3 linked regions of the Arabidopsis thaliana genome follow. The main gene of each other region encodes a partner of the protein of the gene in region 2 in a complex. Each region holds a gene or a part of one and is shown on either strand. Other genes may lie near its edges.

Region 1 (11,898 bases), on a different chromosome or scaffold from region 2:
ATTTGAAACGAAATTGCATGTGGATGCATGTATTTATTGATGATTCCATTATGCTAAGTTACTTATCGTTTAGATTTTATATACTAATGTTTGTTGAGTGTTACACAAGAAAAAGTATCATGTTCATGACTCTTCGCGGTTGTACGCACGTCTGAAACTAAAGATGAATAAAGTTTGTAGTAGATTCCGAATGCCTTTTACCGTGAATATCTGGTGAAAGTATGGTATTTTCAACATTTTTCAAGAAATAAGGTGTATTGAAATATTTCGACCCAAGTACTACTACTAGTCATCGAGGCAATATATGTTTTTAGTACCAGATCCTTCGAATCATATAACCCTCGTGATGAGAATAAGTTTGGCTTGTGAATATAGATCAACCTTTATCAATGGCTAAAATTTCAGAATTTGTATTGATTTTGTTTTTCTTTTTTGTTTTACCTCATCCAAAATCATAAACACATACTATAATTCTTCAAGTTGAATTCGATTTCACTCTTTCTCGGAACACTATAATCCTACTCGCAAACCCAAATTTCCTCTTTTGATTTCATTTGTTGTATATATTAAACAGGTGGAGAATTAAGACAAAGTTCATAAACTAATTAAAATGGAGTTTAGTAAATCAGTTTGCGTTTTAGCACGTGGTCAAACTTCTATAATGGTCATAAACGGAGTTTACAAAATTTGGTGCCAAAGTTATGCCGCACAATTAAATATAGCTTACTAAAGTGCAAGTGTTCTACTTTTTTTTTTTTTTTATAAAAGTGTCTTCTAATTATTTAGGTTGAAGTTTTATGTGTTTTACTGTAGTAATAATAAAATTTTGAAAACCTGCTTTAAATTGATGGATTTTACGTGATATATATTCCAAACCAAAAAAGAAAGTATATAGAGTGAAATGTCTCGACTCTATCGAGTTTTAAATTTTTAATTAAAATTAAGACAATATGGGTTCTTAATACCTTGAAGATTTGTCAAACCATATTCGTCTCAACTCTCAAGCCTACCATACAACGCATGTGTGAATAATATTGACTTGTGGATATACACCAACCTTCTTGATACGACCATCGTAATCATAATTTATTTATACAATAAACAAATCAAAAGCATAGACTCGTGGCTTAATATGAAATTAATTATATTACTCTTAACATTATAAGTACACAAAGCTAACGTGACTTACCTTGCAAAACAACTCTTCCACGTTTTGAAGCTTAATTAACGTTGACGATTAAACCACAACCCAAAAAACAAAAATGTCTAGAACCAAAAACTACTTTGTGTTGGATCCGAGAGAAGCCACCGTCTCGGATCTTATACATCTTCTCTTCTCATCGGATCTCGGAGATAGAAAGTTCATCCATTCTTCGGAAGAGAGGATTGAGGATGATCTTTCCAGATTCCGGCGACGGTGGATTATCTTTGTATCCATCGTTATTCAAAAACTCATAATTCTCTTTAAGAAACCTCTCTATTTTGTTGGATTTTCTCTTGCTTGTTGGCTCAACCTTCTTTCTTCCAATGGTGGTTTCTTGATGATACTCCCAAATCTTTTCAAAGGTAAGATTGTCTTTTAAGATATTTTTTTTCTTTTGTATACAAGTTCGAGCTAATGGGTATACGTTCGGTTAATTACACTAAAGGTAAAATTCAACGTCGAAACATTAGAATTTCTTCATTAATTTTGAAATCCCAAATGGGAACAACGAAGATAATATACAAATAATTGATGGTTACTATGAATTATACTAGACAAAACATTAAGGTTGTAAGTTACTCCAAATGGGGTTCTCTGCTTTATCATAATCTTTTAATTAATTGAATTTTGAAACCAAATTTGAGAGATGACCTACAATAAAACTCAATTGGTGACACCAATGCGATTACCTTAATTTTATAACCTTTTTTGTGCGAAATCCGCTGTATGAATATCGTGAGGTAGACCCTAACTTTTAACAAATATATTATTTTGTAACTATTTTAGGAAACATTATTTGGCCGGAAAAAGCATCAGCGACGTTTGCATCACTAAACGGAAACCTAGACCGGCGGGTAGAGTTAAACCCGAAAGTAGAGAGAGGAAGTAAAAGATACAAAGCAATGTTGTCAATTATGGCTTCTAAGCTGTCTTACGAGAATATAAACTTTGTCAGCTCCGTTCTTCACAACCATTGGAAGGTTTTATTCTTTAATCTTTTCCTTGTTGTTTACAACTTTTACATGTTGCTAGAAAACGATAGTAGTTTTGTTTTGCTCATTTAAATTCACGTTCTATCATTAAAATGCATTTTTGGATCAAATTTGTTGAATATGACTGGTAATAAAAATAGATTAAGAAACTGAATTTCTTCGACATTTTATTATAACTTCACCAATCATATATATAAAACACAGTACTCTATATCCGCTGGAAGAAAAAAAAGAGAAATTTTCCTTTCCCGTAACATATTGAAGAAAATAACTTCTGTTAAATTGAATTTCTAGTTTTTCTCCATACTTTTACTATGCTATACACACTAGTCACAGTCAATATAATTTCGTTTGCCTAGTAAATGAAAAATGATTCTTTTTTGTTTGAAAAATTATTTTACTTTTTGTTGTCAATAATATACAATACACGGATTTGAATTTGGAATTTAAGAAATTAATAATATGTACTAGCAAAACTTACATATCATCTTCTATATATAATGTCTATAGATGATAACAATCAATTTTGGGATTAAAAAATAATAATTCTAGAGTCTTTTTCTTTTCTAAATAACATTTTTTTTATTGTTATTTTGTTTTCCTTTGTAAAGTAAAAAAAGAGAAGATTTTCCTCGCTTAAAGTTAGTTACATATAAAGACACGACAACTAATGCATATATAATCTCATTTAGCTGCCATCGTCCAATTATTTAACTTATCTAATAGCATGATCATGCATGATTTCCATTGATTATTAAATCATGAAATAATTGTGTTGGACTTATAATCTCTATGTTTTTATTAAATGTGGCACAGATGGACTTATTAGGTTTCTACAGCTGTTGGAATGGTGAGACTAATTCCCTTTTTTTTTTATATTATTGATGAATAATTAACTTAATGGGTCCGAAGAAGGCAAATACCACGTGAAAACACTGTCTGAAATGTGCAATATATTATTTTTCTTAACTAAAAAGAATTTGATTCCAATAATAATACTCAAATCAATGATAGACCAAAAAACTTTATATTTAGTTCAATTTATATATTGTCTTTCCTAAAAATCAATTTATAAAAAGATTAAATTCTCTTACCTTTTTGCCTCTAAATTAAACATAAAATTACGACTAGAAATTTTATGTTTGTATCTTTTAAATAGTTGTCTATGTGTGCTAAAATATTTAAAATTTTTAGAGACAATAACCTCAAATTCTCTAGAATTTAAATTTTCCTAAAATACTTCATATACAGTTTTTTTTTTCATTTTTTTCATATACAGTTTTAAGATCAAATTCATTTTTCTATTTATATTATATAAACAAAAAAAATTAATTTATTTTTTCTTCCTTGGTTTTTAGGTTACCAGAAACAAAGATCAACGGAGGTGATTGTTATAAAGGACACAAGTACAGATCCAAACCTCATCATCGTTAGTTTCAGAGGCACTGATCCTTTCGATGCCGATGATTGGTGTACAGACCTGGATCTCTCTTGGTAATTTTAGTTTCTTTTGTTATAATTTATTTCCACACACAAACAGTCTAGGTTTTTGTTTTTATACTCTTTAAGTTCATCCTTTAGCCCCCCTAATAAAACTAGTATTGATTTCCAAAATAGGTACGAGGTTAAGAATGTGGGAAAGATTCATGGCGGGTTCATGAAAGCTTTGGGCCTTCAAAAAGAAGGATGGCCTAAAGAAGTAAACCTTGACGAAACCCAAAACGCAACAACTCTATATGCATACTACACTGTTAGGCGTCACTTAAAAGAAATCCTCGACCAAAACCCGACATCTAAATTTATATTGACCGGACATAGCCTAGGTGGGGCTTTAGCGATCCTATTCACGGCTGTTTTGGTGATGCATGATGAGGAGCAAATGCTAGAGAGACTAGAAGGAGTTTACACATTTGGACAGCCACGCGTAGGCGACGAGGAGTTTGGAAATTTCATGAAAGATTCACTAAAGAAGTTTGACGTGAAGTATGAAAGATATGTTTATTGCAACGACATGGTTCCTAGGTTGCCTTTCGACGACAAAACACTCATGTTTAAACACTTTGGGGCATGCCTTTACTATGACAGTTTCTATAAAGGAAAGGTTGGTTGCATATATATGACAATCTTGTTTCTTTGCTTTAATCACTCATCCGTCTAATGTCGCTTACGCACTTACCCTACTGATGATATCTATCTACATTGTTGTTGTTTAATTTGTATTATGTTCAGGTAGAGGAAGAGGAACCAAACAAAAACTACTTTAATCTCGTATGGGTTTTACCAAAGATAATGAATGCACTGTGGGAGTTGATACGTAGTTTCGTCATGCCTTATTGGAAAGGTGGAGAGTTCAGAGAAGGATGGTTCTTAAGGTGTTTTAGGGTTGTTGCATTGTTGATTCCTGGATTACCTGCTCACTTCCCTAATGAGTACATCAATGTTACTCTTTTAGGTGACTTACCTGACTCGCATCTTGATTAAATTTTGACGAAGTCATAAATTCTTTTGAAAAGTTGATGTGTTTAGCTTTTCTAGGGTCTCGTTTCGGTGATGTAGGTGTTATTTTCTTATTTTGGCCTTAGATCATCCTTTCTTTCTCGCAATGATTCTACGTCTCACTTTATCTTTATCTGCATCAAGAAAAGAAATGCATAAATATTTCAATAAATACTTAGTGAAACGATTCTCTTACCTGCGAGTTATACACACAAGCAAACCAATATAACAATCAACAAATAAATCATGAAATAAATCAAACCAATGAACAATCATCCATTGACACAACCATCTCGGGGGATTGAATAATGGTACCAAAAATACTGCCTATACATACAACAAATAAATCACACAATCTCAATTGCTTAGATAATCTCATGGTCACATACCCACCTCGAAACAAGAATGATTTTGAAACCAAAAACAACAATCCCACAACGAGCAGTAACTTCCTACTCACCAACAATATCTCAACTCACCATACATCCAACTACAACAGCAAACCAACCTTTAACCTAAATTGGAAAAAATCTGAAAATAACCCAAACAATTGGTCTCAAATATTGAGTCACGAATCGCAATCTAACCGTCCAATTCAAATCTCCACCGTTGAAACTCAACCCTCAAGATGTCCTGAAGCTAACCTCAAAGTTTAGTGATGATCTGACCGCAGGTGCACTCGAGATAATTTGTTTAATACACTCTGGTCTAAATCACGTCTGAAACAGAGGACTTTACGAAAACACAGATAACTTTTAGAATATTAACTCAAATCCAAATCCGCAAAGTGGTAAATCTAGTTATAAGGCTTAGCTACAACTCAATAAAATTTCCGTACCATAGAAGGCTATTTGATTGATCAAACCTCTGTTCTACCACGACATATCTGATATGTCTCTCTCTTCCTTCACCAAAATTATCAAGTAGTTTCCTTTTTGGTGTTTTTTACATAATATTTTTGATATCAAACCAAATTTTTTCTTGTCTTTATACAGAATTTTCTGAAAAAAAATGTTACATAATCTCTTTTACGCAATTATCATCCCATCATGGAGTAGATATAATATTTGTAACAAAATATAGTTTACATAAAAATCATAAATAGTTTGACAAAAAAACAAAGAACAAAAAAAAAGAAGAAGAGAAAAATCATAAATCCTGTCAGAAGTACCGGAGCGAGCCTGACTGGAGAAATCGAGAATGGAGGACGGCGAAATAGAGGAAGGAATGGTAACTGCCGACGAATTCCCGACGCCGGAAGTAACTACCATAGAGACTATACAACCTCCCCGAGAGCCAGGAAAATCTCCACTCGAGCTACTTCGAGAGAGCAAAACCTCCGTAGAAGAAATCGTCGCGAAGATGCTCTCCATGAAAAAACAAGGAAACCACAAATCTGAGATTCGAGAACTCCTCACTCAAATGTTCCTCAACTTCGTCAATCTTCGTCAGGTACTTACCAATCTTCTCCCTCCACCTCTTTCGCTATACGATACTTATTAGGGTTTTTTTCGCAGGCGAATCGGGCGATTTTGACTGAGGAAGATAAAGTGAAAGCGGAGACGGAAAGAGCAAAGGCACCTGTTGATTTCACGACATTGCAATTGCATAATCTTATGTATGAGAAGAGCCATTACGTTAAAGCTATCAAGGCTTGTAGAGATTTCAAATCTAAGTATCCTGATATTGACCTTGTTCCTGAACAAGACTTCTTTCGTCATGCTCCTGAAGCTATCAAAGATCAATCGCTTTCAAGTGATAGTTCTCATGTTTTGATGCCTAAGAGACTCAATTTTGAGCTTCATCAGGTTGGTTAATCATCACCATCTCTGAAATTCATTCAACGTGATATAATGTTTCATTACCTTTTTATGTTTTTTGATTCAGAGGAAAGAATTGTGTAAGCATCGAGCGAGATTGGAGCAACAGAAGAAGAGTTTATTAGAAACCATTGCGGAGCGTAAGAAGTTTTTGTCGAGTCTTCCTCTACACCTTAAGTCTCTGAAGAAAGCATCGCTTCCAGTACAGAACCACTTGGGTATACAGCACACAAAGAAACTGAAGCAGCATAATTTAGCTGAGCTGCTTCCTCCTCCGCTTTATGTTCTATACTCACAGCTCTTGGCACAAAAGGAAGCTTTTGAGGAGAGTATTGAATTGGAGGTAGTTGGGAGTCTTAAGGATGCTCAAGCTTATGCTAGACAACAATCCAGAAAGGACTCAGGTAAGTTGTTTTGAAAATTTACTGTGTTTTCTAATACTAAAACGAAAAGAATGCTAATTTGGTATTGGTTTTTCAGGTATGTCGAGTAATACAGAGAGTTCTAGGTTGGAGGATGATGGACCTGATGACGATGATGATGGACAAAGGAGAAGAAAACGACCCAAGAAACTTACTAGCAAAGAAGGTTCTGACAAGGCAGGATTATATCAAGTCCACCCTCTCAAAATTGTCCTTCACATATATGATGATGAGATACCAGATACAAAATCCTTGAAACTTGTCATTCTCAAGTTTGAGTACTTGCTGAAGTTGAATGTTGTATGTGTTGGCGCTGAAGGCTCTCAGGATGGACCAGAAAAAAACATATTTTGTAACTTGTTTCCAGATGACGCTGGACTTGAGCCTCCTCATCAGGTAACTTTTTGTTTCTGTGTTTCAGTTTTCTTCTACATGTGACTTTTGATGGCTTTACTTTTAAAAATGCATACTCAATTCTCTTTATATGGCCGGTTTTCCATGCAGTCAACCAAGCTCATCCTTGGTGATGGTCAGACGTTTGATGAGAACAGAACTTCAAGGCCTTATAAATGGGTACAACATTTGGCGGGAATTGATATTTCACCGGTTTTATTAGGCCAAGAAGCTCATAACACTGACCCAGCTAAAAGTGATACGTTTGTGCCTGATCTTTCATTGTATCGCCAGCAGCATAGAGTGCAAACAGTTCTGCGAAGAATACGCTTGCGGAAAAAAGCGCATCTGGCTCTTGCGTGAGTTCACCACTCTGTATGTTTTCCGTCTTAATTAAAGAACACGATGCAAAGAATTCCAGAAAATTAGTAGACCACCATGATAATCAGCATATGGTTTGTACATTTAATAGTTTGGGTTTGTCAATAACTTGGCGGTCAATTTAATCCCTCTGTAGCATTGTCAACTTCGTGATAAGAGCTTCTATAGGTAATTATTTCTGTTGATATGTTTATTTTTGCTGAATACTTTGGAAACTTCTACTGGCTACAGGGAACAGCTTGATTTGCTTATGAAACATGAGTTACCAGTGGTGAACTGCGAAGATGCTCCTTGGGCACTGCATAAGGTTCTCTGTGCTTTGGATTCCTGGTTACATATACAATCTTCAGCTAGTAAGTCATGCTCTCTGACTCTGAACAGTGTGGAACAAGTTCCAGAACCTATGGAAATCGATGTAGATGGAAGATCTATTTCTGGAAAAGAAGATTTTGAAAGTATACGGGAAGATGGAGAACTTCCCTCTTTGGTCACGGCGGCTGCTTCGTTAACCAGTTCCAATCATACCCCATCGAAAGTATCTAATCAAGCACGGTCAAGGCAGTTGGCCTTGATGACAAAGAATCTAGATTCTCCGATTAGCAAAGGAAAGTCCCCAAGTTTCAAGAAATACGAAGATGATTTGGATCTTGTTCTGGACGATGATAGTGAAATAGATGAGCCAACCGGAAGAACTGAGGCGCATGTGGAAGAGTTATGCCCTGAGAAAGCTGATAATTCATGGGTGGATTATGGTTCGAGAGAGTTTGCGCTTGTGTTCTCCAGGAAAACAGATGGCGGAAAGTTGTGGAAGTTAGAAGCAATGGTAACTTCTAAAACACTATCTTCTAATACGGTATCTTCCCTATATCTTTTTCTTTCTTAAGTGTTAAATCGAGTTGTATTGGCAGGTACAAATTAGCATGGAGTATCCTCTTCGACCTCCTTTGTTTTCTCTGTCTCTCCACGCATCTTCTTCATCAGGAAATGAAAATGGGACAAATGAAAGTGACCATTACAATGAACTTCGAGCAATGGAAGCAGAAGTAAGTGTCAAACCCAGTAACATATACTAATCTTTACTCGATGACACCAAAGATAACGCCTTTGTAACCTTTTCGTGGCGGTATCAGGTGAACCTTCATATGTTGAAGATTATTCCTTCAGATCAAGAAAACTATCTCCTATCTCATCAAATCAGATGCTTAGCAATGTTGTTCGACTATTACGTGGATGACCCATCTCCAGATTCCAAAAGAGGAACAGCCACAACTGTGGTTGATGTCGGTTTGTGCAAGCCTGTTGACGGTAAGCTTCTTGTGAGATCATTCAGAGGCAGAGATCACCGGAAAATGATCTCATGGAAGGGCAGAGGATGTGCATCGGGTTATCCATGCTAGAGATTACATCGCCACTCACTTCTCTATATTATCTTTCTCTGGTGGTACAAGCAAAAGTTTTTGCATGTAACATTTTTTTATCGTATAAACCGTTATTGAAACAGCCTACTTGTTGGGTGAGGACCTGGTCTGTTTTAAACCTGGCAATGTTTCAAGTCCAATCCGTTTTAGCCTGCTCTGTTTTGGTCTCGATTTAAGCATTAAAGCCTAGCGGGTAGCTTGGAAACTAGAAAAGTGAAAAAGGGCTCGTCACAGGTTTTGGAGAAAAAAAAAGGAATCAACTCGTAGACAACCGTTATTACAGGTTGCTACTGCAATCATTGACAAATGTTGTTCCTGCAATTGGAGGTAGTGAAGAAAACAAAACCAAATCAAATTGGATATTAGTTTATAACTTTCAAGTGATTATATAGTTTGATTTACTTTAACTTTTAGTTTTTTTGTCATCTTATTTAAGTACAATTACCAAGGAAATATGCAAGTTTGAATTACAAGAGCGGGCGGAAAATAAATACATCCCAAAAACTTAATCCAAAAGAAGGAAGCGAATCCCTAAATTACAGGAAAACTGTCAAACGTAAATTTTTACATATCAAAAAGACAAAGCAAAATCAAAGGCATGAACGAAGACCTAAGAGGAACCACGATTTGCTAAATTCACTCCCATGTCCCAGGAAGAACAAAGCCAACCACAAAAGACAGTGAAATTTTTCGTGTTTTGTTGCAAATGAATCAACACTGAATTTTTTTGATTTATTATAGGAGTTATTTTTGTATATTGCAAATGAATCAATAGTGAAAAAATTTAGCAGCAATTATTGAGCCTATAATATAATTTTATAGTTTTATGGTTGAGATTAGTATGACATTGTTTTCTAAAGCCAAAATAATAATATTTAATAGTAGTATTTTCTGGCTCCAATAAAAATAAGTTTTGGATTTTCCCCTAGACCATGAGAATTCGATCTTTAGGACATTATCAAATGGGTTTAAGAATAAGATGTCTAATAAATAGCTTATTTGGTCAAAAATATACGAAAACAAAACATGATGAACAAAATAAACTCATCATCATCCTCCAACTCGGGTTTCATTGATTCACTTGATGTCCGATTTCGTTCTCCTCAGCTTTCTCTCCGGTCGTTCATGAAGGCTAATCATTCCCTTCACGTATTATTTAGATATACAAAAAGTTAGAACAAGGTTCTCAAGTTTTTAATTGATGTACGGTTGAGGAAATAAGATTGGAATAAATAGATTACTGGTTCCATTTGTCTTTTCCGCAACTCTACATGTTGTTTTAGTAGCTCTTCATAATCTTTCTTTAAGTTTTCAAGTTCAACTTCAACCTCCATAGTTTGAGCCTAGAGAGCAAAAATGAGCAGTTTGGTACTTATAAAACACAATCAATCAAGATGGATAGATAATATATATATATATATATAACATTTTCTTACTTGCTTTCGAGCCCGTGATCTCGCTGCGGATTCTCGGTTCTTAATCTTTCTCCTAAGCTTTTTGTCAACGAATTGTTTTTCCGCGGTAATTTCACTATTAATCTTCCCACCTCTTGTACTAGTACTACCATTACTAATGTATGGAGATGGTGAGAGTAATGAAGACTCACCGTTAATCTTTTGTTTCCCATTTAATGTTGGAAATGGGGTAACCGGTGAACATGTTATGGCTTCACTTGGAATTGTCGCAACACTTGGGACCAAGCTTCTCTTCGTATCTTGGAGACTTTGGTTACCAGATCCCAAGGAACCATTTGAGAATCGGATTTGTTTTCCATAAGAATAACCATTTGGCATAGACATGATAGATTGTTGTGGTTGATATGTTGACATAGATCCATTCACATTTTGATGCAAATAAGAATCATGACTCCTTGGAACCATATTGTTCATAAAATCAGAAACCATGGCTTTTGGCTGAATCTGAACACCCAAACTAGTGTGTGGATTACCGGAAATCGATGACGATGAGTCATGAATGGAGCCACCATTGGTATTACCTCCTCTTGCTCCAGCACGGATGAAAAACTCTTCAAGAGTGATTTCCCCTAAGGTTTGTTGTCCCTGAAGATGAGTAATGTTTGTTACTCCTCCATTGTTATTGGTGTGTTTTTCCTCTGTGATAGATTTCCAAACTTCACCAACATTTTGTTTGCTAAGTGTTGGAGGCAGAGTAGTTGAGCCTTGCCTCTGCGACCCCTCTTGTGTTTCTTCAGCACTTGATATATGCTTAACCAACTCATCCATGTTCATTGATCCACAATCTAACCCTAAGCTGGTCTGAAACTGATCTACTGTCCATGAGTATATTGATCCTTGTCGGCTTAAAGAAGTACTAACTGGCAAATCATTCACCAAGTTTTTAAGTCTCCAGTAACTATCCATTTCACCTGACACAAATCCGAGTGATTAGTGGCCTTAGAAAACAGTTGTTGAAATGTAAGAGCTTTTGAGGTTAAAAATCATGCAAAACAGAGGAAAGGAGAAATTTTAAAACAGAGGGAGAGAGAAATGATCAAGAAAAATATTCATTTTGTTTCTCATAAGTTTTTTTTTTTTTTGGATTAAAAGTTTCTCATAAGTTTCAGTGAACCAAAAGAGTAATTGAATATATAAGAAAACTAATGTATGGCAATTAACCCAAAATAAAATAAAATAATAAATCTAAGCTGAGTTAAGCACATTATCCAAATGAAGTAAGAAAAATCTAGAATAAAAGGGATCTAATAAAACAACAATTTGTATAAATAAAAAACACTATATAAGGAGCAAATAA
Region 2 (10,510 bases):
AACAAAGGATTCTGCTCATCGTCCTTTTCCCACTCACCATATAAGCGATAACGAGCCTAAATACGAAATTAATCAGTAATATTGAAAATCACATTCTACACAAAGATATTTGGAACAAATAAACAGTAGCAAGTCAACCTCATATGGAAGGAGACTCATCACTTCCCAAATCTCATGACCAACTGCTGGATTTGCAGGTACTAACTGTAACGATGGCAGAAGACATGTTCCTAGAGCTTCTTCCACTCTCAACCTAACTTCTTTCAGGTGCCCACGAGAAACTTCATATGCACTACCTTCTTGATTTGACCCATCGCGAACAAGATCCAAGGCCGACAAGTAGTAAGCCCTTAATACTCTACAAATCTGCCACCGTGATAAATATATATCAGCTTCAATCTTTAATTTTGTATAGAACATTCAATATTTTAAAGGTCAGCGCACCTTCTGCAACAATTGTGTATTGCGGTAGAGGTAGGGTCCAACAGTAACAAGCATTTGAAACACTTCTTTCGGAAGATCTAGATAAGTCCTATTAGCTGTCGTATTAGCAGTGGGTGTGAGCTTAACTGTGCTCGCAGAAGAAGAACTTTGAAAACGTGTCTGACGAGCAATGCGATAAGAATGAGTGATTGACTTCTCTATAAGCCTGAAAACATAGACCAAAAAAATCATTGTTGTCATCATAGATTAGTGGCCAGAGCTGCAGTATCTCTTTGGATACATAGAGCTGAAGATGCAAAGAAATGAAGCCGCTATAAATCTGGTGCAGAATAGTTTGCGCTAAAGGATTACTCACTAACCTAAACAACCCACTACAGATCTGATCGTGTGCCACTGGATTAAGAGGTGCAAGACGCTCGAACAAGATATTTGCATGATACCTGAAAAGAAGTGAGTTAATATAAAAATAATAAGAAAAAGAGCTTTCACCTCAGTTGAGCAGAAAGGGGAAGATTAATTAGCAAGCTTTTAATATAAGTTAAATATACAAAATAGCTTTGTATGTAAACAAATTTTCTAGGATAGTATGGATCCTGAGATGTGAATTCGGCAGAAGACACCAGTAACAGTCATCCAATATGCCCTCAAGTTCAATTTTCAAGTTACAGAAGGTGATGCAATTATCAAAAAAATAACAATCATATATAGAGTACTCCACGAAGAAATCTCATGCTCATGAAGAATAATAAAACTTAAAATTTAACATGCACTGGTTCAAGAAACCTGTTAACCAAATGGACTGGTTTGACGACAGTGGATTTGTTAAGTAAAAAGATATGATTCGGTGTTCATACCAATCGTCCACAGAGAGGAAACCATTAAGTAGGCCCAGAGTCTGATTATTTTCAAGCTCTGGTAATCGCTCAGTAACAGCTTCACTTTCCATGTCTAAAGCAGCAAAGAGATCTACTGTGACATCTCCTTGCTTCTCATCTTCCATAAGATCCTTCCCAGTAGCAGCGAGATTAATCTTTCCAATTTTATTGGCCTGTATAAAAGGAAGGACTTGTAAAAATAATAACTCATGAATAAATCTATGAAAGTAAAAAACAAAAAACAAAAAATAATTGGCTGGCTTCCAGGAAGATGGAGAAGTGCTTAGTATCTAAGTATTTATTAAATTTATGAAGGCAAGATTAGCAGATTACCACAAGAGCAGAGAAACCATGTTTGTTCGTTTGTCTCAAGGGAAAAAAAGGTTTTAACACATAAGAAACATATAGACAACTTACGGTAGGCCAGAACAAAACTATCTTAAAACATCTCTAAGCATAAGGACGAGGTCATATATTGAACTGTACCTCTTCAAACCGCTTTGCAGAAGAAACATTATAATCCTCAAAAACTTCCTCGTCCTTAGGTAGCAGATGTGCATATCTGTTCACAACAGCCAGGCAAAAAAGTATAAGAATATTGGGTCCATACATTCAGTATGATTTCACTTGTTAGAGGCACAAAGAAATGTAGCAATCTAGTAATCACCGAATCAGTACACTGATGAAATAAGTTAATGAATTGAGTGAGTTGCTCACGAGAAAATAAATTAAGTCTACTAGCTAGTCCTCCTTAAGAGCAATCTCAAAGTAAAAAAGTAACTTTCAGAGTACAGTAAGAAACAAACTTAAAATTGATACCAAACAACTAGAAACAAGAGACAGGTGCAGAAGAGAAGAGAATCTTTCATTTACATTCCAACTGATCTAGTCCTATTCTCAATGAAAAAAAAAACTCGTTATGAAGAAGACATGTACAAGAATCCAATTAGAAAGAAGACTTCAGTCTGCAAAAAAGGATAAAAACCAGTGTGCAAGTATAACCTTATTCTCACATAATGAAAAGAAAAGAAATCGTCATGAAGAAGACTACCTACAAGTATCCAATTAGTAAGGAGACTTCAGTCTACGACAAAAGATAAAACCAGTATACTTTCTTAAGGCTACACATAATGCTCGATTTTGAATATTCCCGAGAGGCTCCAAAGACCTTGAAAGCAAGAAAGGAAAGGGCGGAAAAAACAGTTGAAGAAAAAACTACTCACATGCTTTCAAGATTGATAAACTCTTCCTTTACTAGCAAGGCTGTAAGCTTATAGAGCCCAACTGGAACAGGGCTATTCACCTCTAGTCTCTGATAGTATTGGAATTTAAATCCAAGAATTTGTGAAGCATGAGACTGCACATGAAAATTATTTTTTTTAGCAAAAAATAGTCTCTTGAGCTAAGCATTAGAAGATAAAAATACGAGGAAGACATTCCAAACCTTGGGAAAGATAGGAATTAGATTGAGAAATGTGTCGTAATCTTGTTCGAGTTCAAAGCAATCTAAAACCTATTCATCAAAAACAAAGGGTACATTATTACTAATCGGGAAGGACAGATTGATGCGTTATGCAATATCAAACAAAAATATGACAGAAGCAACAGTGAAAACTTACAATGTCGAAAACACGGTTTGGATCCAGGTCAAAATGCCCAATTAATGACTGCAAGAAAATATAAAGTTCAGAAAAAGTAAATGGGCGAAATATAATGTATTGGCCGAATCAAAACCTTGATAATTCCCATCGTTGCTGCTGATGCATTGTGCGAAGAACTTGCAGATCCTCGGCACAAAAGAGTGGCCTGCACTCCACAAAAAGGAACTGCTATAAGTTGGTGTATGTATAATCTGACTTAATCGAATCTCTACTGAGATAATATGTTCATTACTCTGCACAGTTATAGGTAATAAAACTAGCAGAAGATATGCCTTCCAACTGGAACCGTGTGAAAAGGAAAGGCCAAATCAGCATTGTTGAAAAGATCATCCCTTCCAAAAACTAAAGGGGTATTCCTTAAAGTTGTGTTTCAGAAAAAACAGAAGTAAAGAGTATCTAAGAAAAGACAATAGAAACGAAGTGGACAGAAAGAATGACAATAGATAAAAAAAAAAAAAAAAAAAAAAACTAGACTGCTAGAGATCTTCTATAACGAACCAATTTGGCATATCCCTCGCTTTCTTCACGGAGTAAGTTGAACTTTGTCTGCTGGTACAGAAGACGAGTGTTTAATCGCACCTGAGAAGCATCAACCAGAATTGTTACTTATAAACAATGAGCAGTAGTTACACAGGTAAAGTAGAAATTCTTATAAGCATTAATCTTTCGCAATAGCAATTCACTCAGAGTAACTATTACGTAAATCAGAGCACAGTGCAGCTGCATTGATGACTAAAGTGTGAAGTCATATTAATACAGCAGTTACAGAAGTGTGAAGTCCTCACCTCTTTCCCCTTCAAATCTTGGGCCTTTATTTTAACCATATCAGCTTCCCAGAGAAACTCCTCCTAAAATAAAATAAATAAAACGCCTTCAGAAAATTTTCTTCTTACTGATCAAGAAAATAGAGAGGTTAAGTGGGTGGGGTACAAACTACTCAAATTGGGAATAATAACAAACATTTTAGGACTTGCCCGCTCCTATCCTTTACATCTACAGCAAGAAGAAGAGGGCTATTCCGTGAGACCAGCTGGTCCACTGGATCTTTGAGGACAATTCTTCAGTCTTAAGGGATTAATGTGACATTCGAAACAGGCTACAGCCTTGAAGTTAACTTCTATAACTACCTTAGCAGCTACAATAACTATTATTTAGCAGTCTCTATCTATCACTCCAGACTTGTTCAAGCTACGGTTTCTATGATGGGCAGTAGGATTGCATGATGCACATGCTATATAGATGAGGGGTACCAGTGAGGGAGTTATCGAGAACTAGTGAAAGGTGGAAGGGGGGATAAGAGGGGACTCTATTAAGAAACCTCTCAAAGCTGTATTTTCTTGTTTTAAGTTCTATTAATATAAAGATTCTCTACGTATTACTCTGTTTCATTGGCTGAACGTAACATAATGTTTACCTCGCAACGCTCTTGGAAAAGCCTTTGAGGGACTGTCTGTGATTCCACAAGCCATTTCGCCTACCAAAAAAGAACAATTGGTTCATTAGCTGTGAGCATAGAAACCTTGAGGAGATGGTAAATGAGAACAGAAAGAATATTTTAAGGAAGAAACTAAAGTACGCAATCATCAAATTCAATAAAATAAGACATATGCTAACAACTCCTCTGTAAGCAGCTCATCAGAGAACATTGGATCAAGCATACAAGGAAAATTCAATACCAAACTACGCTAATAGATCATCTAAGGCACTATGGTCAAAGTTTCAGCTCCTTAGGATGAAGTAGCCTTTTACAATCAGGAACTTTCTTGCAACCTGCCCAGGATGAGCCATCGGTTGGTTGAACCTTAGGACACTACTGATAGCTATACACCACATGCCTAATCTATTCATAGGATGTTACTTTTTGTGATCACTAATATCTAAAGAGCTAGAATTATCTTTCCTCAAGACTAACAAATCCAAACAATGATCAATTTTCAAAACGTAAAATAAATTCTAGCACTCACCAATTTGATTAGACGAGAACGTTGATCTCCCGACATGGTAAGCTGCAAAACAAAGCAAAGAGAACACGAACCCAATCAATCCAACGATCAGTATCAATAACCTTGCACAATCATCTCTGAGCTAAGGATGTCAAAACTGTAATTGGACTTACGTCTTGAGCTATCTGAGTCACAACATCCGCAAAACACGAAGCTAATTCTTCTCTCGATGGCTTATCCAAAAACTCCACACCTTCCAACACTGCCTTACAGCTCTGAATTGGCAATTCGCCACGAACCTAATAATCCATCACGAGGCACCGTTGAGGAACTCGAACAACATATACGCGTGATTGGATAGTAGTAGGAAGAGAAGGTGGTGTTTGTGTGTATACCAAAATCCAAGAGAGCTCGTAGAGGAAACGAAGCATCGGCACAGAGCTGGGCAGCTTGGTTCCATAGTTGCCATTCTTACCTTCACGAACAAACTCCTCCGTCACGTACTTACACTCCAGTAGCGGAAGAGACATCTTAAACCCCTTTCGTGTGTATGTATGTATATCTTTCACTCTCCTCCCTTTTCGAAACCCTAGAAGATTAAGAAAATAGGGTTTAGACTTCGATTGGCGACCAGAAAATAAGCATTCCGATAAGATGAAAAGGGAGAGGAACGAACAATTTTGATCAGAGAAGAAAAAGAGAAATTAGGGTTTTTGAGAGATTATTTGATTTGGTGGAAGTAAATTGAAGACGATGATGATGACGGTGTGAAGATGATGCAAATATGTTTTTGATTTTGCAGAAGAGGGGACTATTCTTTTCCTTTTTCTACTACTTACCGATTTTGTTTTTCTGTCGTCTTTTGTTTCAGCAAATTATGTTGTATACAATTTCAATACAAAACCGGGTCCGGTTAAGTCGTATGATTTTGTTTTGAATGGGCGTGAAACTATGAATTGGTTGTTATTGAACAAGCCCATGGGCTCAGATGATCTTTGAGTCCACCACGATACTACTAACAAGGCAATTAGGCAAATATCGAATTAAAAATGTTAATTACATCTTTTGGTCCTAACAGATATAAACAAATAGAAAGCAACGAGTACAAGTACTAGCTAGTAACATACCAAATTAACTAAAATATGGAAACCAAAACCTAAAAAATTTCTCAGCGTTCTTCGCTCCATTCCCGTTTTCAACCAGAATCGTTAACTACTCGGGACAAAAAAACGATCAAAGAAAGTCAGAAAAGATCCATAAGCAATTGAAAAGTTGATCCAACTTACAGTCATCTTCTCCTTCTTCTCCTCCTCGTCCTCCTTTGCTCAAGAAACAACAACAAAAGAAAACGGGTCGGTTTGACCAACGTTATTCGAAAGCTATTTGTTTTAGGTCTGGCCTGTTTATAAACTCATTATGTTAAAATCTAATCCGCTAAAAGTCATTTATAGTTAAACTTAATGTGCCTGTATTGGCGCGAGGGCTGCTGTTATTTTGTTATGTTCAAATCAGTGCTTCCAAATTGCCTCGTCTAGAATTAAAGAATATGCTTAGAAGAATTTTTGTTATATATTAAACATTTTGGTTTTTGTTAGGTTTTTTGGATCACTTATAATTTGTAATGTTGAATTCATTTGTTTTTTTTTATTAGTCAACCAGACTTTCCGACATTATCTATTATTAACTACATGTTTGTGTTTCAGTTTAACTAATTTATTAAGGCCATAGGAAAATCGTCAAATACTAACCACACGAAATAACTATAGATACTGTACTTTGGTGTCATTAAATTCAAATTGGAGTTTCATATTACCCGAAAAATGAATCGTTTTATAATTTTTATGTTAGTTGTTGCGACGTATTTTGGATTGCTTGTATCAGTTTTGTCTTGTAAACGTAACACAATTGAAATTATGAATGATCTTGGTCCCGGTTTGGTTCTCTAGTATCATCGTCATTCAAAAGACGACAATTTAGACGTCGCAAATTTACAATTCAAGGAACTAAAACAAATCCGTTTCGGAGACATGTTTGGAAGAAGGACAAGATGGACTTGTCTTTTGAAACACGGCTTATACATGCGATATTATAAAGATTTTGTAGCATATAGAGCAGCCAACATTGATCGATGTGATGCTCTACGTCGTTAGATTGCTAGAAATGATGGAATTTACCTTGTGAGAAATAGAAATCCTCAACCAAAGTTCCATCATGCATGGAATAAAACTAAGTAATGTTGATGAAAATACTATTTTTGTTGTCTTTACAATTTACGTCAACATTCTTCGTAACCTAAAAAAAAAAAAAAATCTTCATAACCTAGGGTTATAATTTATAGCAAATCAAATATGTATCCATTATATGGAAAACGAATACAAACTACTTTTCCGATCCAGACAAACAGACAGTGTGTCGTCTTTTTTAATTTTTTTGTATTAAATCTGATTAGAAATCAAACAGTATAATTATGTTAAGTGCAAGAGACAAAACCGTGTCTGTTTTAGCCCAACAGTGTCACCCGAAACAAATCCATTCCTAGGAATATAGAAAGAAAATTAAAACAAACAAAGAACAATTTAGAAAAGACACCAATTAACACACAACACAAAGACAAATCATAATTAGGATGCTTCCATAAGATAGAGAATTAGGAAACAAGAAACGTCCTCTTTAAGACAACTGTTCTTCCCTAGCTCCGAACTCCTCGATCATCATGTTCTTGTTCATTTTCGCGTGGATCTTGGAACAGTTTGCAAGGCTTGAGCAAGCATGAATTAGGTCCACCAACATTCCCAGTTGAAATAACAGGATGCTTTTTTGAGATCACCACGGAGTTGATAACATCATTTGTTGGGTGATAAATAGACAAAAAAAAAAAAGTCTTTTTCTTTCCTTTTTCTACTACAGACCGATTTTGTTTTTCTGTCGACTTTTGTTTCAGCATAAAATAGAAGAAATTATGTTGTATACAATTTCAATACAAAACCATGTCCGGTTTAGTCGTATGATTTTGTTTGAGTGGGCGTTAAACTATGAAATGGTTGTTATTGAACTAGTCCATGGGCTCAGATGATCTTTGACTCCACCACGATATTACCAACAAGGCAATTAGGCAAATATCGAATTAAAAATTTTAATTACATCTTTTGGTCCTTCTAACAGTAACAGATATAATAAACAAATAGAGCAACGAGTACAAGTATTAGTTGACACAAACGACAACAGAAATAGACAGTAATCAAGTTTCGTTCCTTTGGTTTTTGATTTTTATGATCTTCGACCAAATCACGTGATCTAAAACATTGACTTTGATCATTAAATCACTGCAATGCTTTCAGTTAATTTCTGACGTAGAATCATAAAGAGACGTCGTTGTGTATCTGACGACCACACAATATTTTCTGATTATTAAAAGATACACTTGTTCTACAAGTGAATTACAACATCATATAAATTTTACACATCCAGAATCTGGATCTTTTATCTATATAGCAAATTAGCAAGCACTCTTTTGAACAATGAAGCATGCATGCTTTATCTACCAAGAAAGTAACAAAGAGTATCAATCATATACAAGATAACTAGAGAGCTGAAACTAGGTAGAGAGCATTATACCTCCCATATCAGAAGCCATTAAAATCTAATCTTTGTACTTGATAGTTACCACTGAGGTTCCAGTAACAAAACGGGTACCTACCAAAATCAACTAAAAATATGAAAACCTAAACCTAATTATTTTCCGAGATTCAAGAACACTAAAAGAGAGATTTTACAATGTTCTTTGGGATTCAGCCTCATCATTCTTCGCTCCATTCCCGTTCTCAACCGGAATAATGAGCACGATTAGAGAAAGTCATAACAGATCCATGAGCAATTGGAAATTTGATCTGACTTACAGTCATCTTTTCAGAAACTCGAATGTCTTAACGATCTCATCTTCTTCTTCTTCTTCTTCTTTATAAACTCATTATGTTAAAATCTAGTCCGCTAAAGGTCATTTATAGTTAAACTTAATGTACATGCATTTGCCTAAGGGCTGCTGTTATTTTGTTATGTTCAAATCAGTTCTTCCAAATTGTCTCGTCCGGAATTAAATTAATATACTTGCAAAAAAATTTGTTATATCTTAAATTTTGGTTTTTGTTAGTTTTTTTTGGATCACTAATAATTTGTAATGTTGAATTCATTTGGCTTTTTTTATTAGTCAACAATACTTTTAGACATTATCTATTATTAACTAACATGTTTGTGTTTCAATTTAACTAATTCATTAAGGCCATAGGAAAATCGTCAAATACTAACCACACAAAATAACTATAGATACTGTACTTTGGTGTCATTAAATTCAAATTGGACTTTCATGTTACCCAAAAAATGAATCGTTTTATAATTTTTATGTTTGTTATTGCGACGTATTTTGGATTGCTTGTATCAGTTCTGTCTTGTAAACGTAACACAATTGAAATTATGAACGAGCTTGGTCCCGGTTTGGTTCTCCAGTATCATTGTCATTCAAGAGACGACAATCTAGACGTAGCAAATTTATAATTTAAGGAAATAAAACAAATCCGTTTCGGAGACAAGCTAGGAAGAAGAACAAGATGGACTTGTCTTTTGAAACACGGCTTATACATGCGATATTATAAAGAATTCATAGCATATAGAGCAGGCAACATTGACCGATGTGGTGCTCTGCGTCGTTGGGTTGTTAGAAATGATGGAATTTACCTTGTGAGGGATCGAAATCCTCAACCAAAGTTCCATCATGCATGGAATAAAACTAAGTAATGTTGATGACAATACAATTTTTTTGTTTTTGACCCAAAATGTGCCTAAATTTGTATTAGCCCCGTATAATCTCCATTAATTGATGGATTACATGAAAGCTAAATGAGATAATTTGTTGTGTTTTTTCCATTCTTCTGTATTAAAAAATAAGACAAGGCCTGAATGTTTCCATGTAGAGACAACTCGTAGGAGACAACTAAAAAAAAAGTTTGATGCCTGATCATTTATGTACGTAGCATATGATGTAAAGCACAATAAAAATGTACAAATTGTGATGTACAATGTCTTAAACCATAAAAGAAATCAGTTGAAATTCGGGAAAACTATAAAATAAAAAATTATATATGTCAAACCATTTGACTCAAATGATACATCAATCAAAATAAATTCTTGAGACAATGCCAATGCCCAACCTAAACTTCTAAATATCTAGAAAGTGTCCAGCTAGTCTACGACAAAAGACCAAAACACGTGTCCAATTTAAGCATATGGGTTCCATTCGTGCGAAAAGGACACCCTAACTTGAAAAGGAAGGTAACCAACAAGATATATTCACTATCCGCAAACCTAAAACAAGAACTCATCCAACAGCAAAACCTTTCTCATTCCATGTTCCAGCTAATTCTCTAACACATTTTACCTCCCTTGTCCTGATTTGAATGTGCTTTCAAGCTCGGAAGGTCGCGAAGGTATGCTCGTCAGAGTATTATCTCCAAAAAAACACGAATCAAGAATAAGTTGAGGAAGAGGAGTGTCGTAATCAATTCCATAGATATCTTCCGAGTCACTGCTTCGTTCT
Region 3 (10,770 bases), on a different chromosome or scaffold from region 2:
TTTTTTTTTTTTTGATAAAATGTGAATTATATTACCAAAAGGAAAGAGGTTATTTACAAAGCTGGGGGCAAGGAGCTTCTATGGCCAAAAAAAAATAAAAAGCCTTAGATAACTATTACAGAGAAACTGAAACTAATTTTCCAATGTTAACAAGATAAATACATATATGTCTGTAAAGTATAATGTATTAATTATCAATTGATTTTGAATTAGAAGTCTAAGAATTTTATAAGTGTCTCTCATCTAATTTTCAAATTCAAAAGTATACTACTATATCTATTCCATAAATATTACTATATATTTACATTTTGATCGATATTCAAGTTTGTAATAATGTGGATTTACCACTACTTGTTTACAACAAAAGATGACACAAGTAGGGTCCTTCGTGATTTAGAACAAAAGGTACAAGTTCGTACGCGAAAAAGGTACTTCTACAAGATTCTGTGCTTTTCACGAATGCTCTCATAGTCTCACTAATGCACACGAACGCTTTCGCAATATTCTCCGTACTTGTCGGTACTTCACGAATACATTCCCTTACAAAATGAAAAAAAAGTTGTCATAACTTTTTAAAAAAAATCGTGTCATAACTTCAATATGATCACAAATTATATTAAAAAAGAGTACAATTTCACTTCATAATCCAAAGGCTAGTTTGTTATCCAAGTCGTTCTACCAATCCCCAAAATGTTTAAAAGTTGGAGTTTGCATAGAGAATATCAGAAGAATTATATAATCTAAGTGTAAATATATGAAGAATATAATTTTATGGGTGAATAATCTGAATGTAAAAGGAGTTGACCAGGCGTTGAGTGGGTGACCTACCGGCTTAAGGGAATCACACGCTCTGTAGCGTTGAATTCTTTAAAGAGTTTAATCAATTCATGCACATCTGATGCTAATTTTTACTATGTTTTCATTTTTGTTAAATCAATTTTATTATATATATACATACATTTCCTTTCTTCTTTTGCAATTTAAAAGCCTTGATTACAAGAAAGTACAAAAATCAAAAGTTTGGCAGTTTTAATTCTTTGGGTGGGGCAATCTTTGATATATATAAGTTTTTTTCATTTCTTAACCAAATTTTCTTTTTTCTCGTTAGTAAATTAAGTAAAGAGTAATCAAATCGATCAAGAGATAAAAACTAGAAAGAAAGAAAGAAGAAATGGGTCGGATTCCATGTTGTGAAAAGGAGAATGTGAAGAGAGGACAATGGACTCCTGAAGAAGACAACAAATTGGCTTCTTATATTGCTCAACATGGTACTCGTAATTGGCGTCTCATCCCTAAGAATGCTGGTAATTTAAATTTTCTCTATATTTTTTTTAATGTTTTATTTAGTCAAGTGATCATTGTAATGTAATATAATGAATCGACAAAATTTGGTCTTTAATAGGGTTGCAAAGATGTGGGAAGAGTTGTAGGCTGCGATGGACAAACTATCTGCGTCCGGATTTGAAACATGGCCAGTTCTCGGAGGCTGAAGAACATATCATTGTCAAGTTTCACTCTGTTCTTGGTAACCGGTATGATCACTACTCACTAGATCTAATTAACTACGGTTTTATGATTTTCTTGAAAAGATTTAATCTAGGTGTATAAATTACAGATGGACTCATAAATATCGGGTTTCTTTACTAAGTTTTTGAAATTTTGATGCTGACTTACTGATGAATTGTTTTTATGAGTTTTTTGACAAGTTTCTTGGGACACAAGAAACTGAATAAGACATAAGTTTTGTTCTATATACCATAATACCAAATCTAAGTATAGGGTTTTAAACTTTTGGGAACTTTTAATTTTCTATAAATTTGTTTTCGACTCATAAATAGAGTTTGATGATGTATTGCTGATGAATAGTCTGGGATTTTTCATGAGAAACAACAGTTAACATCTTTCTTGGGAAACATTTAATAATCTTTTGACATATATGGTTCAGGTGGTCGTTGATTGCGGCGCAACTTCCTGGTCGGACAGACAACGATGTGAAAAATTATTGGAACACGAAGCTGAAGAAGAAGTTGTCAGGAATGGGAATAGATCCGGTGACCCACAAGCCTTTCTCGCATCTAATGGCAGAGATCACCACTACACTTAATCCTCCTCAGGTTTCTCACCTAGCCGAAGCTGCCCTCGGCTGTTTCAAGGACGAGATGCTTCACTTGCTCACCAAGAAACGTGTTGACCTAAACCAAATCAACTTTTCAAACCATAACCCTAACCCAAACAACTTTCACGAGATTGCTGATAATGAAGCTGGTAAGATAAAGATGGATGGTTTGGACCATGGGAATGGGATAATGAAGTTATGGGACATGGGTAATGGATTCTCATATGGATCCTCTTCGTCTTCGTTTGGGAATGAAGAAAGAAATGATGGATCAGCGTCTCCTGCCGTTGCAGCTTGGAGGGGTCACGGAGGAATACGTACCGCGGTAGCTGAAACCGCGGCAGCGGAGGAGGAGGAGAGAAGGAAGCTGAAGGGAGAAGTGGTTGATCAAGAGGAGATTGGATCTGAAGGAGGAAGAGGAGATGGAATGACGATGATGAGGAACCATCATCATCATCAACATGTGTTTAATGTGGATAATGTCTTGTGGGATTTACAAGCTGATGATCTCATCAATCATATGGTTTGATTTTTATTTGGTTCTAAGTTTTTTCCTTTTTCTTTAAGATTTCATTGTTTGGATTTTCATTTTCGATCACATTGGTAGTTAAACATTGGGTATGATTAATTAGGTGCTTTCTGTTTTTACAGAGATTAATAAGTTTTGCTTTGTAAAGCATTTTAATAAATGAAGAAATGTAAATAAAGAGTTTTTATTATTTTCATCTTGAGTATAATAAATAGATAACAGACATACAAAATTACAAACCTTTGATGTTGGCTTCTGCGTTGAAGTCTACAAAATCCCAAAAATGTCATTTCCAATAACTTGCGTATGTGTTTTGAAAGTAATTAAAAACAGAATCTTATTTGTTACTTTATTCTATTATTTTAGTAATAGAAAAATTCATAAATATATCACTTGTTATAAATTGTGGTGGAACAAAAGCAAACAATGGAATCATATACTTTAGAAAAGAAAAGAAAAAAAATGGAATCATAGGGCCTAGTTAAACTATAAAGCACATTGCATATCATTCGGCCCATTAAAGGCCCAAATATTGGCTATATGCGTTTTGGAGGAGAAAATATAGCCGTTAAAGTGAGAAAAGGTCTCTTACTATGTTATCGCAGCAGTAACAACATAACGTAAAAAGAAAACAATCCGACCGTTGTACATATAGCCGTTAAAGAACAACAATTTAAATACCTGAAATTTTGTGAAAGAAAAGGAATTCTTACTAAAAAAACACAACGAACTCAAATCTTCAATCTTCATCTTACTCTCTAATTGCTTTCCTATTCCGATCTCTGTTTCTTCATAAAGTCTCAATCTTTTTTTTCTCTATGGCCGGAACTAAAGATTCTCATGTAGTGGAGATTCCAGTAGATGAAGAGCATAAAGAGAGACAACAACAACAACAGTTGGTTGCGGTCTCAAATCCGGGAATGGGAATACTCAAAGTGATTCAGCAGCATCCGTTGTCTGAAATCTCAGAGAGTCCAGGACATTTGTTGCTTTTGAAGTTATGGCAAAGAGAAGAAGATTTGTTCTGTCGTCGTGTTCTTCTTAAAGAATCAAGACTAGAGTCAATCAAAAGAGAGATCTTTCAGCTTTGTTGTTTCTTCCTAGTCTTCCATGGGTTCTTCTTCACACTTGTCTACTCTTCTTCTTGTTCTGATGATGCTGACGTGGTGAAAAGTAATGCGGTTTGCAAGAAATGGTGGATACCTTCTGCAGTGTCATTAGCTACTTCATTGGTTCTGGTGTTTCTTGTTCAAGCTAAGCTGTTTGTGTTCTGGAAAGTTTACAGAGGTGTTAATAGGGAGAGGAATGATAATAGAACGCTTACACGGTGTGTTTTGGAGTTGAGGATGAAAGGGTCGAGCTTTGATTTGTCGAAAGAGCCGATGAGTGGGAAGAGGATGAAGAGTTCAAGCGTTGAGATCAAGTGGAAACCTGTTACTTGGTTCTCTCAGTATTTGATAACTATTGTTCTTCTTTGCTCTGCAGGGTTGTTCTTCCCGGTCTCAAAGTTCATCCTCTGCGGATTTTGACAAACTCTTCCTATTCACTGTTTGTTCGGTAAGCAAATCGTGTGCTCTTCTTGTTCTTTAATCCAAAATTGGACTCTCAGTAATAAATGTGTTTTCTTTCTCAGGACTCTGCATTCTTTCTTCAACCTTCATTGTGGGGATGATGCTTTTGGTCCGATCTTACCATTGGCCTCTGTTCTAGCTTTGAGAGAGTAGCTGTCAAATCTCCCAGACTGAAGATTCGCCGGAGGGAATAAGAACAACCTGTAACTTTTAGCAGTACTCACACATAGTAGAAAATTGATGTAATTCGGGATTAGAATTCTGATCTTGATCTTATTAATTTCATTCTTCGTTAATAATAAACAACATTGCTTGTATAGTAACAAATTTTTGCAATAAATAAAATGCCAGATTCAGAACTGCAAACTTTCAATGTATTTAGTGATACTGTAAGATTATTCCAACTTGATATACTGACAATACATATTTAGGTACACTAGGCACATAAACTTTTTCTAACTCAACAAGGAACAATCAAGTGGAGTTGTGTATCATGTTTCCCGATTCAGTGCTCTGTTCCTACGAGCTCTCAAAACCAAATATCCGGAAAACACCTGCAAAGAGATCCAAGTTGTTGTCATTGTTCATTTTCTGCTACCAATATTAGAGTTTTGAGTTGTTGCTAACAATGAAGTACTAATACGCGGTAGTACCTTCATCAGTATTATACTTGGGATTCTTGTCATCACCTGCATATGCAAGTAAATTGTATTTGGGATTCCACTCAACACTGTTCATGGCTGCCCGACATGGAATCTGATGCACCGTCCGCCCGGTTTGGACATTAGCCTGTTTGGTAGTTAGTGGTCAGATACGAGGAACTAATCTCATATTGAGGAAACTACATTGAAATTAGCAGTGTTTAAGTCTGGGCAATCACTTACAATATCAATGAATAAATCTTCACTGGCTGAAGCAATATACTCTCCCGAATAGTTGAAGCTTATTGTTCTGACTGGCCACCTGTGAGAAATAGTTATAAATTACTAACATGTAACAGAAATTAAACCTTTTTCTACTCTATGGAAAATTCATGTTGATACTCACTCAAGTTTGGTAAATGTTCTCAAACAAAGCATGTCTGAGATATCCCAAAGGCTTACTAAGGAATCCGCACTCCCGACAGCAAAATATCTGTTAAGGTAAAGAGGAAGAATTAGATGCAAAAGCAAAAAGATTATCATTCGTGTCTCAGAGGCCAGCCCACAAATGTAAATATATATTACCTCCCTTTAGGATCAATTGCAATACAATAACACCCGGCTGTGTGGGCTGTGAGAGTGTCAAGTGGTTTAAGAGATGGATATGAAAGAACTTCAACAGTGCCTGAGCAGGACAACATACAAAGTAACTTTCAGTAAGATCATTTTCTCAAGTTCAAAAACAAAGAAATCTTTGGTAGGGAATCGTGTGCAGGAAAGTACAGAATTTAAAATCCTCACCAAGTCCAGTAGTCAAGAAGAAAAAATCTCCAGGCATGTTCCAAGCAATCTCATTAACCTGTTACAAGAAGACAAAAGATAAGAGAACATTCCATACGGCACCAGAAAATTACTTGACGATTATTACATGAACAAGGAACTTAGGTGACATATAACCGCATGAGCTTGAAACAGGAGATACGGAAGAGCCTTATAAAAAAAAAGCCATTAATAAAGATTAACATGAGTCTGAGCTTACGTTACCTCATAATTGAATTTGCGCCTGTGTAGAGGTTTAAACTTACGGACATCCAGAATTGTAAGCTCATCATCCTACATTGGCCAGTAAGAGAAAGGACAACGACTATGAAAAGGGATCTATCAAGTAATCCATAGACAGTAAGAACAATGAAAGTGTAAAGATATGGGGCTCGAGACAATACCCTATTACCAACAGCTACATGTGTCCCGTCAGGTTTGTAGGTGATGTTTATATTCTCTCCACTAAGTTCTACCTGCTGTGTGCATTTTCCACCTGTAGAACTCGAAGAAGACATATCTCAGCAATTGATAGTAAAACATACAATAGTAGCCACATATCAAAAACCTGATCAAATTCCTCTCTTATGGAATCTGGCTAAATAACTAATTTATAATTCTAAGAAACTTAGATCCGATCCTCATCAATCAATAGTCTCCGCGATATGACTCAAAAGCAAAGGCCAAGATTGCGAGAAATATTTGTGAATGACACATAGCTAATCCATTAGAAAATATACAGATTTCTAAACCAAGCTCCAGGCATATTTCAGGAGCAAAACTAAACGATTAAAAGAATATAACTTACTGCGAGCATCCCAAAGACGAACGCTTTTATCACCAGAGGCAGTAGCAACAAGATCTGAATGTTTGGGATCCCAACATAGCTGATCCACACTATCAGTATGACCCTTTAGCTCAAGGTCCTTAGCCTTGCTCTGTATCCACACACCACACAAACAACCAAATTACAAAAACTACATAACTCAAAAAGTAACAATGACAAAGATAATAATCGAGTTTTAACTCAATCTACAATACTTCTCCATATGTATTCATCATCATCAAAAACACATAGAAGTTCCCATAGCTCAAAAAGGTAAAGAAATTACATGACCGTGTGGTTCGATATTCCAAATGCGAGCCGTTTGATCAACAGAACCCGAAGCAAGCTTTGTTCCATTCGAATTCCAAGCTACTGAATGTACCTTCAATCCAAAAATTCCCCCAGATTCAGCAAAAAACTAGGGTTTCGCAAGTTTTATTGAGTACAGAAAATTAGACTGGAGATAGAAAAAAAAAACCTTCTTCTTATGACCTTGATATTCTCTGCTATGTAAGCTCTTGAAAGGAATCGTCGTCTCCTCCATTTTTTAATTCTCAACTCTTCTTCTTCAACCTTCCTTCGCGGCCTACTGAATATCAGAGCTTCGCTTCCTGAAACGCAGCGTTTAGTCATTCCGGTATAGATAAACCGAATCGAATTTTAGTAAACCGGATGTAAAAAACCTTCTAGATGGTTAAGAGTCTTCAGAGAGAAACTAACAAGAAGAGCGGTAAAATTGGGTAAAATATGAAACAAAGAAAAAAGGTGAAAAAAAAAACAGCTAAGCAAACAACAAGTAATCATTTCACAGTCTCTATAAAATGACCTCTTAAATCCACCGACGTTATAGAGAGACAACAACAGCTTTGGTTCTGCCTCCGCCGCTTCTTCTTCTTCTTCTAATCTCCGACAGATTTACTCTGATTCTGTTGTCTTCGAGATGATGATGATGTCGTCGCTTGGTGGTGGTGGTGGTGGAGGAGGAGGAAGTGGTGGTGGTATTGGTGGTGGCGGCGGAGGGAGGTTTATGACGTATTCGTCGTCTCTTTCGGTGCCTCCTTCTGCTCCTCAGTCTCCTAATTACTCCGGTGGTCTCCGATCACAGTCTTCTGTCTTCGTTGAGCAAGAGAAGTAATCGAATCTTAGTTTTTCATCTTCTTTTATATTTTTGTTTTTTATTGTTTGGTGATCTTTTATAATTAGCTGATGTATCTGATGAAGTATGTTGATCTTTGCTTTGCTGATTTTGATTTTTAGATCTTAATAGTGTATCTCGAATCTGGATTTTTGTCTTTTTTGTTTTCTTTTGATTATATTAGGATCTATGTTTCGGAACTAGCTCAGTCTATTTCAGATTTGTCTCAATCCAGTTCATTTTTTGTAAAGCATAAGTCTTTAGTGTGTGAGGATCATTTCATTGGTTGTGTTCGTTTCTGTTATTGTTGATTTCTGTTCTTGGCTGATGAAACTGTTAAAAAAAATACGATTTTTGGAAGATTGACTAGATCCACTTCACAAAAGAATGGAAATTTGAATCTGGTTGTATCGATTTAGAGTGAATTTGAGTGTATCTGTTTGTAAGTTTGATGTGTCTTTGAGGCTTTTTTACTAATTTGGATACTCTGCACAATTTCTGTTTTGGCAGGTATCTTTCAGAGTTACTTGCAGAGCGTCATAAGCTTACTCCATTCCTGCCTGTGCTTCCACATGCATTTCGGCTACTAAACCAAGGTGAGCATTACTGTTTTTGTTGTTTATTATTTGTATTTTCATCTCACATAATACTTCATTCTTTGCTTCAGATTCATGAAGCTATAATACAGTTGATAAACTCTTAAACAGTACTGCTAAGAGAGACCTAATTGTTAGCTATTAGAAGTAGATCACGAAATGACTAATTCTATATTTCTTATACTGACTTCATTCTATTTAACCAGAGTGTATTTAACTAGAGTGAGAGCAAAAATATATTTTAAGCTAACTCAATTAACTATGCTGTCTCTCCATTCATTGGTGTCTTGGTGACTGATTTGTTGACTAATTCTAACTGGTGCGTCTTACTCTTGCAAATTGACATTTTTGGAACAGAAATTTTGCGTGTAACCACACTGTTGGAGAATGCTACAGTTTTAAGTCAGAGTGGGCTTGACCACCCTAGCCCTCTGGCTTCTGGAGGGATATTTCAGAATGCAAGAGCTGACATGAATGGATGGGCCTCCCAGTTTCCATCAGAAGTATGACTACTAACCATTAACATAACTCTCTAATTCATACTACTGCAATAGAAGTTTTATTGACTTAAGTTATAATACTGACATAACATATTTGACTGCTTTTAGTCCTAGTTTATCATGACAGGTAGGCTAACACTTCATATCCGTAATGTTTGTATGTTCATACCTTAGATCAACACTAATTAGATACTCCACTATCCTCACGAGTAGGATTGAAATTAATGCTATAATTTTCTCATATATCTGTGGTCACTGTATGCATATTATTAGGATATAACAGCTACAGGTTGAAATGCCTTGATACAGTGACCACTCTCATTGAATGAAGTTCCAGGGCAAGAAGTTGCAGTATTCATGTGCTTATGCTTAAAGGTTGATCTTGCTTCTAATTTTGTTGGTTGATCATTTGCAGAGATCTGTTCCATCATCTCCGGGACCAAATTGGCTTAACTCACCTGGTAGTTCGTCCGGTCTCATCGCCAAGCGTACAATCAGGGTCGATATTCCAGTCGACAATTATCCGAATGTATGAACTTTCATTTCTACACTGAGATATACTACTTCCTGGTTGGAATGTAACTCCTTAATTTTCTATATGGCAGTTCAATTTTGTTGGTCGCCTCCTGGGTCCTAGAGGAAACTCCCTGAAGCGAGTTGAAGCAAGTACTGATTGCCGTGTTCTTATAAGAGGAAGAGGAAGTATAAAAGATCCAATTAAGGTATTTATTATTAAACTTTACAACTTCATTTGTATCTACATTTCAATGTTTGTACAAGGTGTTAATATATTTCTTCTTGTAGGAGGAAATGATGAGAGGAAAACCGGGATACGAGCACCTAAATGAACCACTTCATATCTTAGTGGAAGCAGAATTACCGATTGAAATAGTCGATGCACGGCTCATGCAAGCTCGGGAAATACTTGACGATCTTCTTACTCCTATGGTTTGTTTTTAGCTCTCCCCCTCCCTTTGATTTTAAACCAGTTATTGTTACAAAGTTTTCACACTCGGTTTCTGTTTTATAGGAGGAAACCCATGATATGTACAAGAAACAACAGCTGCGCGAGCTAGCATTGCTCAATGGAACTCTTCGTGAAGAAGGATCTCCAATGTCCGGTTCTGTTTCTCCTTACAATAGCCTTGGTATGAAGAGAGCCAAAACAAGAGAAGGGTAAAAACCATCGAACAGTTTGGCTGTGATCATAAAGCAATATGAAACCGATCCAAAAGTCGACACAAAAAGGCCATACCACTCTTGACGACACGGTACTGTCTCTTGTCCTTGGGGTAGAAATGTTGTATATATGATTTATGAAATGTGTTTGTCAGTCTATGTATCATTGTCCCGGAGAGAGATCAGATGACAAAATTGCAACGGAAACACAAGAGCTGATGAGTCTCTGTCTCTCTCCGAGACTTTGATTTTGTTTTTGTTTATGTTTTTATGTCTGGAAAGTTGGGTTCCAACAGTTTTCTTTTAAGTTTTTTGTTTATTTGTTGTTTTAGCAAAAAGAAAACATTAAATCATGATGATGGTTTGTGTCTGGTATTGGTAATGATAATAATCATAATATGTTTTGGATACATAAACGTCAAAGTAAAGCTTGTTTCAATATGATATGTGGAATTATGTAAAGCAAATGTTCTGTTCTCGAGTATTTTTCACATTTTTATTACTGGAAGTCGACATTTTCTATTACATGTCAACTCTGTTTTCAACATTGAAAGATTACTTGATTAAACTTTAAACAGATCTATATATTTAAGTAAATCGGTTAGTATACCCATATGTCAATCGGTTTAATGGCCTGTGACCCTTATAACCTAGTTTCTTGTGATGCAAGGTAGCTTTCCTTTACTGTTTTACAAAAAAGGCCTATTCAAAAATTGTTATGTACTTTATATAAAAGATAATTTTAAAATCCTATCGAATTTGGTAAGAGTAACATCTTACATATGAAATCTACCATTCACAAATACTACTTTATTAGTAATATGCAAATGCATAACAATTTTTGTAATGTATAGATTT

Evidence for each region.
Region 1: THO2 (region 2) and THO5 share a complex: the UniProt entries of both Arabidopsis thaliana proteins name them as parts of the THO complex.
Region 3: THO2 (region 2) and TEX1 share a complex: the UniProt entries of both Arabidopsis thaliana proteins name them as parts of the THO complex.

What each region holds. Positions count from the first base shown.
Region 1 is NC_003076.8:17,203,517-17,215,414, reverse strand, and holds THO5 (THO complex, subunit 5), read left to right. Parts: upstream 1-5,764; 5' UTR 5,765-5,892; coding exon 5,893-6,144; exon of another isoform or gene 6,145-6,209; coding exon 6,210-6,500; intron 6,501-6,579; coding exon 6,580-6,916; intron 6,917-6,992; coding exon 6,993-7,330; intron 7,331-7,438; coding exon 7,439-7,686; intron 7,687-7,939; coding exon 7,940-8,531; intron 8,532-8,616; coding exon 8,617-8,751; intron 8,752-8,838; coding exon 8,839-9,105; 3' UTR 9,106-9,444; downstream 9,445-11,898. Other genes in the region: AT5G42930 (alpha/beta-Hydrolases superfamily protein), read left to right, coding at 1,263-1,566, 1,991-2,184, 3,013-3,046, 3,555-3,690, 3,814-4,297, 4,426-4,677; AT5G42910 (Basic-leucine zipper (bZIP) transcription factor family protein), read right to left, coding at 10,204-10,269, 10,368-10,469, 10,563-11,507. UniProt on the Arabidopsis thaliana protein: Acts as a component of the THO subcomplex of the TREX complex which is thought to couple mRNA transcription, processing and nuclear export.
Region 2 is NC_003070.9:8,737,153-8,747,662, reverse strand, and holds the start of THO2 (THO2), read right to left. Parts: upstream 5,724-10,510; 5' UTR 5,600-5,723; exon of another isoform or gene 5,513-5,599; 5' UTR 5,454-5,512; coding exon 5,319-5,453; exon of another isoform or gene 5,223-5,318; coding exon 5,097-5,222; intron 4,987-5,096; coding exon 4,945-4,986; intron 4,455-4,944; coding exon 4,395-4,454; intron 3,829-4,394; coding exon 3,766-3,828; intron 3,560-3,765; coding exon 3,479-3,559; intron 3,426-3,478; exon of another isoform or gene 3,213-3,425; intron 3,126-3,212; coding exon 3,054-3,125; intron 2,987-3,053; coding exon 2,939-2,986; intron 2,833-2,938; coding exon 2,764-2,832; intron 2,677-2,763; coding exon 2,543-2,676; intron 1,882-2,542; coding exon 1,806-1,881; intron 1,493-1,805; coding exon 1,299-1,492; intron 885-1,298; coding exon 804-884; intron 650-803; coding exon 445-649; intron 367-444; coding exon 139-366; intron 57-138; coding exon 1-56. Other genes in the region: AT1G24650 (Leucine-rich repeat protein kinase family protein), read right to left, coding at 10,348-10,510. UniProt on the Arabidopsis thaliana protein: Acts as a component of the THO subcomplex of the TREX complex which is thought to couple mRNA transcription, processing and nuclear export.
Region 3 is NC_003076.8:22,718,020-22,728,789, forward strand, and holds TEX1 (Transducin/WD40 repeat-like superfamily protein), read right to left. Parts: upstream 7,081-10,770; 5' UTR 7,047-7,080; coding exon 6,981-7,046; intron 6,885-6,980; coding exon 6,789-6,884; intron 6,615-6,788; coding exon 6,485-6,614; intron 6,173-6,484; coding exon 6,081-6,172; intron 5,971-6,080; coding exon 5,902-5,970; intron 5,717-5,901; coding exon 5,659-5,716; intron 5,543-5,658; coding exon 5,443-5,542; intron 5,351-5,442; coding exon 5,264-5,350; intron 5,180-5,263; coding exon 5,101-5,179; intron 5,006-5,100; coding exon 4,870-5,005; intron 4,771-4,869; coding exon 4,736-4,770; 3' UTR 4,463-4,735; downstream 1-4,462. Other genes in the region: MYB80 (myb domain protein 103), read left to right, coding at 1,172-1,304, 1,403-1,532, 1,946-2,645; AT5G56120 (RNA polymerase II elongation factor), read left to right, coding at 3,464-4,174; AT5G56140 (RNA-binding KH domain-containing protein), read left to right, coding at 7,443-7,633, 8,148-8,233, 8,591-8,736, 9,149-9,262, 9,339-9,455, 9,538-9,681, 9,764-9,913. UniProt on the Arabidopsis thaliana protein: Acts as a component of the THO subcomplex of the TREX complex which is thought to couple mRNA transcription, processing and nuclear export. Contributes to the integrity of the endogenous trans-acting small interfering RNA (ta-siRNA) pathway.